Linked DNA regions of Mytilus edulis. The protein of the gene in region 2 purifies or fractionates together with the protein of the main gene of each other region. This does not show direct contact. Links are inferred from orthologs where the notes say so. Each region holds a gene or a part of one and is shown on either strand. Other genes may lie near its edges.

Region 1 (7,214 bases), on a different chromosome or scaffold from region 2:
CAAATTTATTTAATAAATGAAAAAGGTTAAGAAAAAGAAACAGAGACTGTAATAATAAGTAATATAACCCAAATGTGAAGCACTACACGGAGTCGAACTACACCTTTTAATTTATCCCATTTGGTGCCAAAGTTATTAATTTTCTGATCCAAAATCTTTCCAGAGCAAGTCTATCCTCCTTAGACCAAGCAGAGTTGTGGTCAATGATTTTAATGGTCAGTCGATTGAGATCTATATATATATACTATTGAATTAATTAAACTTACTAATTTTTGTAGCTGTGCAACATCTTCCATTATGGTACTAAATCTTGATAACTGTCTGAATTTTTTTGTTCCTGCCTGAAAAGCAATGTTTATATTATCATAATTTCCAATTCTGGACTTTAGTGTCATCCTGTTTGTAACTTTCTTGAGCCGACTTTTTTTATAGTGTAAAAACATACAGTCTAGATAGATATTTATAAGAGGTTGGTGTATTCTTAAAATGATTTCAATTTGAATCCACCTAATTTCGGAAATGATGCTTGTAAGGCCAAATAAAAATATATGTGTTGTTCCAGTAACCCTACCGTCCCTACTTTTTCGGCTTAAAAATAGCCTACCCTAAAGATTTTATTGTCATTTTTCATTAAGCACTGTTAAAGTCAGAATGTTAGGCTACCTGGAATATGCATTGATCAAAGTTTTTTTTTTTTTTTTGTATATCTGTTGTCTTGTAGTGGTTAGGATTTGGTGGTTGATGTGATCTGTTATATTATTTATTGGTGATTTATATTCCACTTTTAATGTATTCATTTCATTCTTAAGGACATATTCTTCTGAGGTTTGAGTCTCCTTGAAATCTCGTTCAGGAACTATTTCCTAAACATGTGATACTTGTAGAGGAAAATATCAATGAATTTTAAAAATATTATAATCAAACATAACTCTGTGAAAAAATTGTGTATTTATAATGAATGGTTTTTGTGTAATTCAGTTCTCAAATTTTACGATTAATCAAGTCTGACAGTCTTTCTAGCCAAAATTTTGAGAAAATGGGTGAGGGGTACAAAAAATGATTTTACAAGAATCATGTACATCCCATATCATTTTTGTCTTTTCAAATTTCTTAGACACATACTTGAGTGTAAGGAAATCTTAAATAATTCCAGAGCAGCAGGCAACCAAAAATGAGATGTCTTCACAGAATTTCAACTAAATATCTCACCATGATATTCTTTAAAGTTTCTGCATCAACTTTCAAAGTTTCTGGTAATGGAATTGCATGCTACACAAAGGAAAAAAGAAAAATAAAGTGTAATATAAAATAATTATAGAATAGATGTTGCTTCTGACAGTGTGCTATGGGAAACATTCATATGATATGCATCTGTTTCTGAACAATGCATAAACATTACAAAATAGATGACTGTTATAATTGCCAGTTAGAATTGGTGTGTTTCTTATCCTTGTTTTGAGTTTCATCCAATTTTGGGTGTTTTTGTTTGCCCTTACGTTGCCGTCTCATTGACGTAAAAGCTTCTTCTTCTTTTAAACATATAAATGCTTTAAGCATATGGTAAGAATCAAGAATGTGTTCCTAGCAATCAAGTTCTTTAAAATCTTAAGATAGATTATTCATATTTTTCAACATATAGCAAACATTAAAAAATTGAGATACACTAATTATCACATATATATTTACATTGATTGTAGGTTGCTTTACGCTGTATTAGCACAACAAGGCTATGTCGCAGCGAGACATATTTACATGTAAATGATGCAAAAAAGAATCATTTCTCAAATCCATCATTTTCTAACAAGAATCTATATATTTTATACATATACAATTGTTACTGTCTACACATGTGTGTATACATATCTATACAAATTTATTACAGTACTTACATAATCTTTGTCTTTTTTTTTTTTCTTTACAATACTGTCTATACTTGGTGCACAATGATTTACAGCAGCAACACTATAGCCCACTGTTAAAATGTTCAAATAGACACATTGCCATATTATTATATTTCAAAGATTCAGAAGTTAACAATAATATATTTGTTAAAAAATTAAGAGCTGCCATATTTCATATGCTGGTCCTTGGTCAATGTTATAAAAGATAAATGATGAGGTCAAAAATCTTGCAAATGAAAGATGCTGGGTAGCTGTCTTATTGTCATTTTTTCATTTATGCTTTTGTCATGTTTGTTCTGATGGATCAATATATATTCCTCTTTGACAGGTAACCCATGCCTGGTATATTAGCTAACATAGTTTAACATTGTACAATTTTTAGGCCAATATCACTTATCAAAGGTAAACCATTTTTGAGAATATGGGACAACATCATTACCTTTTGCTAAGACTGTAAAATATAATAAAATAAGGAGGAGGGGGGGGGGGGGGGGGGTCTGTTATTCTGTAAACATTTAATTTTCACCCCTTTTTTTCTCTAATCTTTAAAAAAAAATAACCCCTTTTTTCTCAAATCTTCAAAAAATTAGACCATGCATTTCTCTATTCTTCATTTTTTTGCCCGTTACTCTCTAATCTTCATTTTTAAGGGCATTATTCTTTAATCATTCAACCCCATCCAAACCCTCATATATATATGTATCAGTCTTATCTCATACAAAGCATGCAAAGTAAAAATACACTGACCTCTTATTTTTTATTCAAAACATTGAAAGACACAGAAATTAAGAAAAGGGAATAATGGGTCGAAACGACTAAGGCCGAAGTGGTGTATGGCCAAAACGTCTCGAAAACATAATTTATTTGGACTAGGTCGGGACAACTGAACTGGAGTAATGTTGCTATGATTTCATAAACACACAAGTTTTGCCAGAGAAGAATCTTATTTCTTATTTTGATTTAACAAGGATATGATATTTACATTTTGCTGCCATAGCAAGTGTTTTGGCTAAATGTTGCTTCTCGCTAATCTGCACGTTGAAATCCATGAAGTTAGCCATTCCGGAAGTCACTATTGCTTATTTCCCCTTCTCATACAAATTTACTTCCGGAGTTAGTAACCACGGAAATTGTAAACAGTGGGTGCCTGAATTTACATTAATTGGTAACTTTAGCTCTTTATGATAACACAAATGTCCCATGAATAATTCTTTTGAATGACTAATTTGAATACTCATAAAAATTTGAAATCATGCAAGTAGTTTCTGCTTTTTTCAAGCTAAAATTTGAAATTGGTTTACCCTGAACTGAAGCAGAGACATAATATGAGGCAGGCATTACCTGTGAATGGGGACGAAGTCTGTATGATTTTTTTTTTGTAACTTTTTAAAATATTTGTGAAAAAAAGAAACGGAAATACCGTAACGTTTCCGATTTTGGTTCTGTTGTTAGGGATTTTACTTGTGACGTTATTTAAGTTATGACGTCATGTTCAATGTAAACAAAATAACGCAATGCATACAGTAACGTTTATTCATATCAAAGCCAAAGAATGATTAAAAATTAAATATTGGTATTGTGTTCCTTGATGAGTTCCTATATTTTACTAGACTAATCAAAGTCTCACGACAACAAGACCGGAAAAAGGAAGTAGATTTCTGCGTTCTGCGCAGATCCGGAAATTAAAAAACATGACAAAAAAAAATTGAACGAATTTGAGTTCATTAGTCATGTTAGTACAATAAAAAATTTCGGGAAAATTTTCCAGATTTTAAAAAAAAAAATTTTTTTTATTGATTTTTCTACTGTTATTGGGGCCCATATAATACAATTTATCAAGTATTATTTATTTAATATCCTTTTTAAAAAAATTTAAATTCAATATCAAATTATGTCTCTTTTTCGATAATATAAATAATACAAATCAAAATTAAATGACATTGAAATGAATAATTATGTATGAACTCAAATTATTTAATTTTAATTATGTTAAATTTAACATAGTCCGAGATTACTCTGACGTCCAACGACTGTTTTGCCAGACAAGCTGGGGCTGTAGGACAGATTGATGCCCGATTTATATAATTCTGAGGCCGTCAGTCGGCACCTAAAGCGACGAAGCAGTGCATCTATTTTGGGTGGGCAAATATCCACTTTTTGATATGGGACGGGCTCTGACGTCCCACGGCCCCAGCTTGTCTGGCAAAACTGCTGTTGGACGTCAGAGTAATCTCAGACTAAATTTAACACTGAAACAGTTAATTTATGCTTACACATTCGCCCTTACTTCAAGTACTTTTAATACTTTGATAATGACTCTATTACCCAAAGAGATCTCGCGAGGTTTAAATCTGGCAGTGTGATATTACGGGATTTTGCCGAGTTGCCAATCTCTTGTATTATACATGTATGTCTCTGCCTGAAGTAAGGATTTGTATACAAATCCTAACATTAGGTAATACATTAATGTCCTACATAGGTTTGTTTGGTACTTTCCTCATAGTAAACGCAGATATTACTTAAATAAAATTAATTTATTTATTAGCATAAACGATAGTTAAATACACTTTTGAAATTACTCAGATGATGATCAAGGATTTGTATAATGAAAATATCAGCATGAAAACGTTAAATAGTGAATATATAATGCGAAGGCATATACTATAGGACTAGGATTTGTATAGTAAGAAATCCTTGCTCAGATACTATGCGACAGGTACCAACTACAAATTTAAAGCCAGAAATATCAACAGTAAGAGGACACAATGAACGATTCCTAGTTCCTTTTGCCAGGACTCAAATATATTGTCACTCATTTTTCCCAGATACCATCAGAATCTGGAATGGACTGCCACAACACATAGTTAGCTGCACAACCCTTGAATCATTCAAAAGGGGTGTGCAAGTGTCCGTCCAGCTTCGATAGTCGATAGATGTACAACCTCGTTTTTATCGTTATTTTAAAGATAAGCACCGTTTTCACTGTAAATAATCCGCACTTACTCGCACATTTGTTGTTCCCAAATCAAAAACATGTACATAAAACAGTACGATAATACTCCAATGGAAGGCCTGTACTATAAAGGAAGAAGAAGGTATTCTATGAAATGATCTCTTGAAGGTTACAAATTATATTTTTATGCCCCACCTACGATAGTAGAGGGGCATTATGTTTTCTGGTCTGTGCGTCCGTTCGTCCGTTCGTCCGTTCGTTCGTCCGTTCGTCCGTCTGTCCCGCTTCAGGTTAAAGTTTTTGGTCGAGGTAGTTTTTGATGAAGTTGAAGTCCAATCGACTTCAAACTTGGTACACATGTTCCCTATGATATGATCTTTCTAATTTTAATGCCAAATTAGAGATTTTACCCCAATTTCACGGTCCACTGAACATAGAAAATGATAGTGCGAGTGGGGCATTCGTGTACTGAGGACACATTCTTGTTATTTTCTAAAAGTAAAAAGACAACTTTTTAATTGAATTTCATGCATTTTCTGTAAATATCATATGTCACAATACACCTTTTTGCTTATTATGATTTGTATGTCATTACCATGATTACTGAACTTTACAAAGGTTTCTTTAAAATTTGAGGTCATAATAAAAACATTTGACGTTACAAGTAACAATGGAAAAGATATTGTTGAATGATGTGATTGTCAATAGTTCAAGGTGTGCAGATTCTAGGGTCAAGCAATGGTCACACAGATTTCCAAATAGGGATAAGGTCTATGCTTGTGCTGTTAAAGTCTCAGTAATAATGTTTTGTTCTGACACATCTTTCATGTTTTATTACCTGAATGTCATTGATGCATGGTTGTTTTACTTATCATGCTAATAACCAGGGCCTAAAATACAATATTGTTTGTTTCCCCAATCCTGACTGACCCTGAAAAATATTATTTTATTCATTTCCAATTTGAAGGATTGTGGGATCGACCGATATTGTTCCAGCTTTTTGGAAAAAGTTAAACGATTTCCCTACCTTCATGTACTTACCCACACCTGGCTTGGCAGGATTGGGATTGGGGAAACAAACAATATATTAATTTAGGCCCAGTCAAGGGTACTACTTGTACAAGTAATTTTTATTTACTTGAAGAAGTAAATATTAATATGCTTATAATGAATTTATAGGAAACTTATACAAGTGTATTTTATTTTAAAACTTGTATAGGTAAATAATTTTTTGGCTGAGCAACATGTACATGTATGTAGCTAAAACTGTGACTTACAGATCAATCACATATCGAGACACATTGTACACACATGTGATATAAATACTGCAGTTGTAAATAACAATTTCTAATAGATACATGTATGTGAATCAAATGGTCCATATTGTTCATTATTCCCAACTTTTTAGGAAACAGAGTTCATTCTTTGCTTTGATGCAATGAATCATGGGAAAACATTAAAAAAATCATAAGTCTGATATGTACAGATTTTAACAAAAATGAATGGATATTGTATTGTATTGTATAGAGCAGCTGCTAGGGTACAAAAAAATGTACAAACAAATCCCATTGGAAAACAGATTTCAAGGAGGTTTTAACATGGTAAAACTGATGACTTCATGTTTTATATGGTTATATTTTAGAATTAAAACAAAATGGCAGACTCTCCAACAGGTGCCCCTTCTCCTGACACAGATGCTTCAGGGAAAAAGTCAAGTAAGTAGTTATTTAGTTCAAAAGTTTAATCTGACTAAAAATATTCAATTTTTTTTTATTTCAAAAGTGACACTTTTAAAAATTCTTTCCTATATAAATTTTGATCATAAACATGGTAAAGACATAGGACTTTTTCGTAAACAAGATTCCTTAAACAAGTTATGATAGAATATAAATTTTGGAACAATAGAATTTAGCATATATTTGAGCTTTTCTAAAAATAATCTGAAACAGTTTTAAGAATGCTTAGAGTAACTTAGATTAATAGTAACGTTGCAATTTTGTCATTAAGAATAAGATACAAATTCATATTGATATTTAAAAAGTCATCTTCTAAATTAATAATTAATGATACATGTACATAAATTAATTTCATTTGACCTTTACCTATTTACAATAAAATAATGCAGATAAGCTTTCTATCCAGGTTTCCTTTGTCCACAGACCACTTTCAGTTGACACCTTATCTATCAATTGGAACTCAAGTGGATTATTAAGTTGTCTCATTGGCAATCATACACGAATACCATCTGCTTATTTTCATAATGTAGTGACGTATTTCGTGAAATGATTTAGTGCAATGAACATTTAGTTATTGTGTTGATATTAAAGTTATGAATATTTACTTGTAGGAGTGGATGGTTC
Region 2 (7,592 bases):
TTGTCAGGTCATTAAAGGATTGCATATGTTGGCTTTAATATTGATTCACTGATAGGGTCTTTGCATTGGAATTAAACACATTTATTTTAAAACTAGTTGTTGGCATGACACGGGTTATGTTTTTTTCATATATTTATGATGGTATAATACTAAACCCCTAACGGGAGGGATTGTGCCTGATATTCATATGATGAAGACATAATCTTTCAATCAGTTTAATTGAGGTCTGGAGCTGTCATATCAGTTAACTGCTAGTAGTCTGTTGTTATATGTATTATTGTCATTTTGTTTATTTTCTTTTTTGTTACTTCTTCTGACATCGGACTTCTCTTAAACTGAGTTTTACTGTGCATTTGTTTTTTCGCTAGAGGTATAGGGGGAGGGTTGAGATCTCAAAAAACATGTTTAACCAAGCCACATTTTTGCACCTGTTCCAAGTCAGGAGCCTCTGGCCTTTGTAAGTCTTGTATGATTTTTATTTCTAGTTTCTTGTGTATAATTCCGAGTTAAGTATGATGTCCATTATCACTGAACTAGTGTACATATTTGTTTAGGGGCCAGCTGGAGGATGCTTCCGGTGTGGGAGTTTCTCGCTGCATTGAAGACCCATTGGTGGCCTTCAGCTGTTGTCTGCTCTATGGTTGGGTTGTTGTCTCTTTGACATTCCCCATTTCCCCATTTCCATTCTCATTTTTAAGTGTGAAAATGTATGCACAATTCCAAATTTACCTTTTTTAGTGGGTACTCCATTTAGAAATTGGACTTCCCTGGGGACCATGTATGTTGATGTTAAATGGTGAACCTGTACTCTTAAAATTAAACTCACGTTAAAAATCCTCTTACAATAACTCTATTTTTTGTTCTGTTCATCTGTGAGTCATATGGGACTTCCAAAAACTACAATATAAACATAAATATTACTCCATTGTTACAATAAAATCTATAATTATCTGTGACCTTATGAAAATCGAAATCATTAAGTGCTATACATGTAATAATATTATGTTGATTGTTGGTGTTTGAACACCACTTTTTAGCACATATTTGGGCTATTTCTTGGTGGCCAGTTGTTATTAGTGGAGGAAGCCTGAGTGCCCAGAGAAAACAACAACCTTTGACAGTTATTCATAGGAAAACTGACAATCCTAGTCAATTAAGATTTGAGTTAAGTTGAGTGCACTTGCACAAGTGGGGTTCAAACTCGCAATTTCTGTGATGAATGGCTAGTGATAACAGTAGTAGAACTACTAAGACCACTTAGCCAATGAGGCACCTAGTAATATTATAGAAGGCCATTGTACTAATCACCAACACATCTGAGCACTTCAAAGTTAAATAATTAAAATCCTTCACATAAATACACCAACACAACTGCTTAAAACTAAAGTATGAATGAAACTGTTTTACTGGTAATTTGGTGGTTGATCAACAGGGATGTTGGGTTAAAATATGATTGTAGGAACAAAATCTCATAAAAAAGTTAACCCTTGAGGCCTAGGACTATAATATACTGTACCTGATTAGTGGCATTTGCTGAAGCTGAGGTAAGAGATGTACCCACAGTGGCAAACATAAAAGTCCAAAGGTCAAATGCACCTGGTGCTATAGCAAAACCTGCCATCTGTGTTAATACAACTAGTCCTAAAATAAATAATACATACACATGATCTATATTAAAATACAACCAGTCCTGAAAAAAACACATTACTCATGAACAAAACTAGCAATCAAAACTGTTTTAATACAACCAGTCCGGAAACAATGAATTATCGCTATTTTGTGCATTTTTCCTTTAATTTTTTTTGTGATAATTTTTCATATCATGCTTCATGTACTCGCTTGAGATGGAAAATTATGGCTAGAAACTCAGGAGGCGTGTAGCGTTGCTAATGAAATTGACAACGTCGTCATAGGCAAAATAGCGATAAACAGATTACCATTGATCATCTCAACTCGATTGCTTTTCTCGCTTTCGCCGTACTGGCTCAAGCAAGAAAGTTGAGATGATCAACAATAATCTATAATTACACATGAACAAGACATTTATCTAAACACTTTCTTACAAAATATTAGTACAAAAGATACATATATGCGAAAAACATAAGCTTTTAATATCGTTAAAGGTCCATAATATAAACTGTATGGGTCTATATCATTGTATATTTAACAACAAATATGCAAACCAATTGAATTTACAAATGGTTCAGTTCTAATAATATCAATAAGGACTTGGCTATTGCTAAAACAGTTCTATAATATATTTATAATTTTAAAATAACATTCATACACTATCATGACTGTATATGTCACAAAGGGACTACAAGTGATTCTATATTACCTGTTAATCTGATCTTTGATAACATTAAATAATGGTGTAAGAGTTTAGAATAATCAACTTTCTGTTCATGCCACGTCCAATCTACAAGTGATTCTATATTACTTGCTGGGCTCTCTGCCTTTCTGTCTCGTTTCAATTCATTTTGTATAAGTTTAAGTTTTTCTGGAGTCAGCCATTTTGGATTATCTCTAACAGTATCCTGTAACTGTACACCATTGATATCGAGTAAGTTTTCATTTAGATGAAGGAGTGTGCTAGAATGTTTATGATGTAACGATAATCCCTGATTAAGGATAGATTGATGGACAGTGGTCATATCTGGTTTTATTCTCTCTTCTTCAACATGGTTTGATTCTTTAAACACCCTCTGTGCTTTGGATGAAGCTGTCCTTTGAGCTAACTGTAACAATAAAACATAAATCATGTGATAATTGTAATATATATGTATACACACATACATTTTGTTTAGTATTGGAATCACAGGTACAATTCAAAATGCATTTATTTAAATAAAGGTTTAACAGTCATGTGACAGTTTATTGGTCATCATGATTTGATTGACTGGTCATTGATATCAAGGATGACCAGGAATATATATTATCTTATCTCTTGTCATCTTATATTGTTCATGATATTGCTGAATACAATTTATTACAGATTTTGCTTGCAATGATCATGAGTAACAAGATATATATATAAGTTCTACCTCTTCTAGAGCATCTCAGTTCAATCTATTTTTTTTATGGTTTATGTATAGTAAAATTGCAAATGAATTAAAGAACAATCCACAGAATGTAAAGTATGTAACTTTGTGTTTCCGTGTTGGTATATTTCTGAGCGAGTATACAAGTATTGTTAGATAAAACCAACGATTACTTGATTACATATATACACCATATTATATTTCTATTTGGAAATCTGTGCTGGTTGACTCGTGAATGAGGATAGGAATGCCCTTTACCGTCAGGTGTCAAACAGTCATTTTTGGCTATAGTAAGCGACAAATTGTTTAAAATTTTACTGTGCGTCGTCAAAATATTCTTATCATAATTTGTCAGCTCGGCCTAAAATAATTTTGTTAATGTGATTCACCAAAACAAGTTGATATTTTATCGTTATGCACCTAAAATTACTGTTAACGTTGTTTGACAAGAATTTTTACCATTGTTCGTCATGAAGGTGCCCCAATAGGGCTCTTCACGATTAGTTCGGCCATATTGGATAGGGGGCAGATTTTTAGGAAAGAGGTGGAAATAGTATGAAAGTGTGGGAAATCCTAAGCATGTTTCTAAGCAACTGCTCTGTAAAATGATGTGTTCCCGAATTTTCCACACTATTTTTACCTCCACTAAACACACTAAATTTAAAAAGTTTTCTATGAACTTGTCTGTTTTCTGCAAAGCATTTGTAAGTTATAAAATACATTGATAATATATTATTATTTAATAATCAATGTTTAAAAGTCACAAATATGTGCTTATATTAAAATTTCAAGTGTTATTCGGTCATTACAAGTGTTATTCGGATAATATCAGTGTTATTCGGTCATTCGTGTTACCCACTGTTCTGTTCTGTTCTGTTTGAGAAAATCCCTCCTTCAAAGGAGCACTTCGCACAATGACGAATAATGTTTATATATACATGTATAATTATATGTACCTAAAAAGACATACTACGTCCACTTTGAACTATGTTTATAAACTGGGATCAAGCCCACTAATATTTGACAATGAACAGGATGAATGACTACAGTCTAACATGTGTAAAAAAGCTAAAAAATTAATAATTCACAAATATGACTAATTTCATAAATGCAAAAATTTTATGAAAACGACATTAAACATACTTGTATACTCCACGAAGACTTTACACGTTGTGTAACCTCTAGATGTGACATGCATGACTTTGTTGACATTTGCAGTTGAAATAACTTCTTCTTGCCAACACTCCATCCTACTTTCATTATATGCATATCGATCGTTACATTAAAGTCATTTTCAAGTTTACGATGTATCTAAAAGCTACATTTTGTTATTTATAATATAAAACAACGTAGTTTATCGAGACGGTTTCTTTTTGCTGTTGAGTGGTTTCATGTTGTCCCTGTGAAGGTTCATCCTGTTACCAAAAAAATCAAACTTTACATAACAATATTTTATTTTGAAATGACCATTCAGATAAATGTATATAAGAAGTTTCGAACACATCATCTACAACAACCAAACATTTTTTACATGCTTTTAAAATGTTAAAAAAATGTATATAAAACGGAACATTCAATTTGGTATTAGTCAAACCTTGTGGAAAATGCTAAAAAAGGAAAACAGTTGAAAAAGACAAGTCAAGGTTGAAGTGTACAAAATTTTGAAGTTTCTGAAACTGACAGTTTATCCACCCTTATCATGCCTATCTATAAAACATATCATAACAAAAATTCACCAGAAAAAAATATTGCTTTAGGCTATCATGATAGTATTTTTCTCCTGCATAAAATTAAAAATTAATATGATGAAAACAAAAATTTATCATGTTTATTAGCAATACTACTACTTTATTTGTTTTAATAAATCTTATTTTTCTTGTTATACACCTTATTGCTATTTGTCCAGCATAACTGGACCCATGTTCTCATTAATTTTGACGTAATACAAAATATCTGATGCCATTTACATTATGGAAAAATTATTGTTGTTTTATACGGCTTATCGCCAATCCCGGCTGAACTTTTGATGCATACAACAATCACTTTTCCATTTTGGCGTCAGATATTTTGTTTTATGATGTCAAAATTTTACAGGAACCTGTGTGATATCTAGTAACACCGGACAAATAGCGATAAGGTGTATTATGACATCAATAGTTCAACTGTCGCAGATTCTCTGGGTCAACCTGCACAGATTTTAAAATAGACATATATGTATATATATTATCAGGTTTTCTACATATTGATATTGCAAGATATCAACTGCTAGATACAATGTGAACCTTTTTGGTAAGTGCATGAGCGCAGTGAACGACCTAAAAAGCTTCACAATTACCAGGCTTCTCACAAAAGAAATCTAAGTTACTCAATTTTATTACGGCACAATATATACACAAGACAAACAGATATATTTCACAGCACAGGACAAACACTCGACTGTACCACTGACAGTCACATATAACATGTAAAGTTAATGTTCAAGAGCAAATATAGCGTCTAGCCATTAGAAATGATAAATAAATTCATCCAAACAGCTCGAATAAACACATGAGCTAGCCACAGTATACACAAGCACATCTTAAAACTAAGTACACAAAATACATTAAAATTTATAACTAACACAGTTGTATGCGGCGGGTGGGAGGGTAAATAATTTCAATGAAAAATTTCAAATGTACCGCGAATCCCGAAACAAAGAAATATATAAGAGCGTCCTGTATCCAGGTAACAAATTGACCAATCAAAATAAGGAATACTCGGAACAATTTCTTCCGAGTAAATGTAAACAGTGATTCATGTGGTAATTATCCATTTTTATAAAATCAAAAATTACACAATTACCAGGCTTCTCACAAAAGAAATCTAAGTTACTCAATTTTATTACGGCACAATATATACACAAGACAAACAGATATATTTCACAGCACAGGACAAACACTCGACTGTACCACTGACAGTCACATATAACATGTAAAGTTAATGTTCAAGAGCAAATATAGCGTCTAGCCATTAGAAATGATAAATAAATTCATCCAAACAGCTCGAATAAACACATGAGCTAGCCGCCAAGCCAACGGCCGCCAAAAAATAAACAAACAACTGTGCTGAACAAAGAATTAAGCAGATTAATTTTAACTATCATATAAACAATACACAATTTAGCTTGTTAATCTAGCATGCAAGAAATAATATCAAGCAAAAACTAAATAATAAAAGCAAGCAAGGAAGAAACAATATCAACCCTGAACATAAACTTTTCTCCATACAAGAAACAATATCTCATATGAAAAGAAACCGCACCCAACAGTGTGAACAATACTCACTGAAAAGAGTCCCTTACCTGCAATATAAAATAAAAATATTAGTACATATTAATATAAATAAACCTAACTACATCTTAACCAAACAATCTTAAATAATACCAATACATATTAAGGAAAATAAAATAAAAAATAATCCAAATTTTAGTATGGAAGAAATAATATCAACCATAAACTAAAAAAACCCCAAAGGAAGTATGGTAGAAACATGAAATTCAACCATATCTAATCCTTTAACTCCACTTAAGAAATTCATCTCAAATGACAAGTTAACCTATCTAAATTAAATGAGCAACCCTTCTTTTAAAATATAAACCTAACTGCCTTGTACCTTCACAATTGAGATGTAACCCACCATCTTTATAGGCAAATAGCTCCACCTTTGGCTTTCCACATTTCAAAAAACATCTATACGAATGAATGAATTCGACTTCATAACTCAAACATAAATTTAACAAAGCCATATTAACATCCTTTATCTTCTTACCCGTTTCCTCAAAATCAACAGGACGAGGAAGAATACCAGACAAAGCAATAACCATAGAAGGAAACAATAACTTGGCGGTAGAAATTAAATTACAATAGGCAGACTTAAACTGATCAATAGATAAAATATGAATATCATTGGTACCACAATGAATAACTAAACATTTATAACCTCCATAAATACTCCCCTTGTTCTTGTTAAGCTGATAGGTTATTTCTCCAATGGAAGCCCCCCGAAACGCATAAACATCCGCATTCTCAAGCTTCACATATTTTGCAATTGAGTCTGACACTATCAGAAAAGTTCCTGGTTCTACAAAGAAACGATATAAATTAGTAACCTAACAAGGAAACACTCTTCGACATCATTTGCGAAACTTGAAGTTTCTGTTCCAAAGTAAATTCTAAATACTTTTTATAAGCATCACTATGCCAATCTCCATGAAGTTGAATTAATTCCGTAGAAACCTCAGCATGAAAAGCTAAAGTTGCCCCCCCTCTTCTAAAACTATGAGTAGAGTAAAATAAAGAGTTACGACCTGTTTTTTGTATTAAATATCGAAGCTTATTTTGATACTCTTTATAAGTAATGGGTAGAATGCGCCCCTTTTTAACTTTACAAAATAAATAATTTCAATGAAAAATTTCAAATGTACCGCGAATCCCGAAACAAAGAAATATATAAGAGCGTCCTGTATCCAGGTAACAAATTGACCAATCAAAATAAGGAATACTCGGAACAATT

What was found.
Region 1: the proteins of ribonuclease P protein subunit p21-like (region 2) and ribonuclease P protein subunit p30-like purify together in Homo sapiens (co-immunoprecipitation; 3 studies listed by BioGRID and IntAct, counting the BioPlex papers as one, with this or other methods). This does not show direct contact. The link is inferred for Mytilus edulis from reciprocal best matches to the Homo sapiens genes RPP21 and RPP30.

Annotation. Positions count from the first base shown.
Region 1 is NC_092344.1:62,973,033-62,980,246, reverse strand, and holds the start of ribonuclease P protein subunit p30-like, read right to left. Parts: upstream 3,004-7,214; 5' UTR 2,963-3,003; coding exon 2,884-2,962; intron 1,973-2,883; coding exon 1,890-1,972; intron 1,270-1,889; coding exon 1,210-1,269; intron 342-1,209; coding exon 267-341; intron 1-266. Other genes in the region: cilia- and flagella-associated protein 100-like, read left to right, coding at 6,509-6,569, 7,202-7,214. UniProt on the Homo sapiens protein: Component of ribonuclease P, a ribonucleoprotein complex that generates mature tRNA molecules by cleaving their 5'-ends. Also a component of the MRP ribonuclease complex, which cleaves pre-rRNA sequences.
Region 2 is NC_092352.1:3,031,761-3,039,352, forward strand, and holds the start of ribonuclease P protein subunit p21-like, read left to right. Parts: upstream 1-4,576; 5' UTR 4,577-4,684; exon of another isoform or gene 4,685-4,692; intron 4,693-7,592. Other genes in the region: protoheme IX farnesyltransferase, mitochondrial-like, read right to left, coding at 827-897, 1,517-1,641, 2,339-2,738, 4,185-4,310. UniProt on the Homo sapiens protein: Component of ribonuclease P, a ribonucleoprotein complex that generates mature tRNA molecules by cleaving their 5'-ends.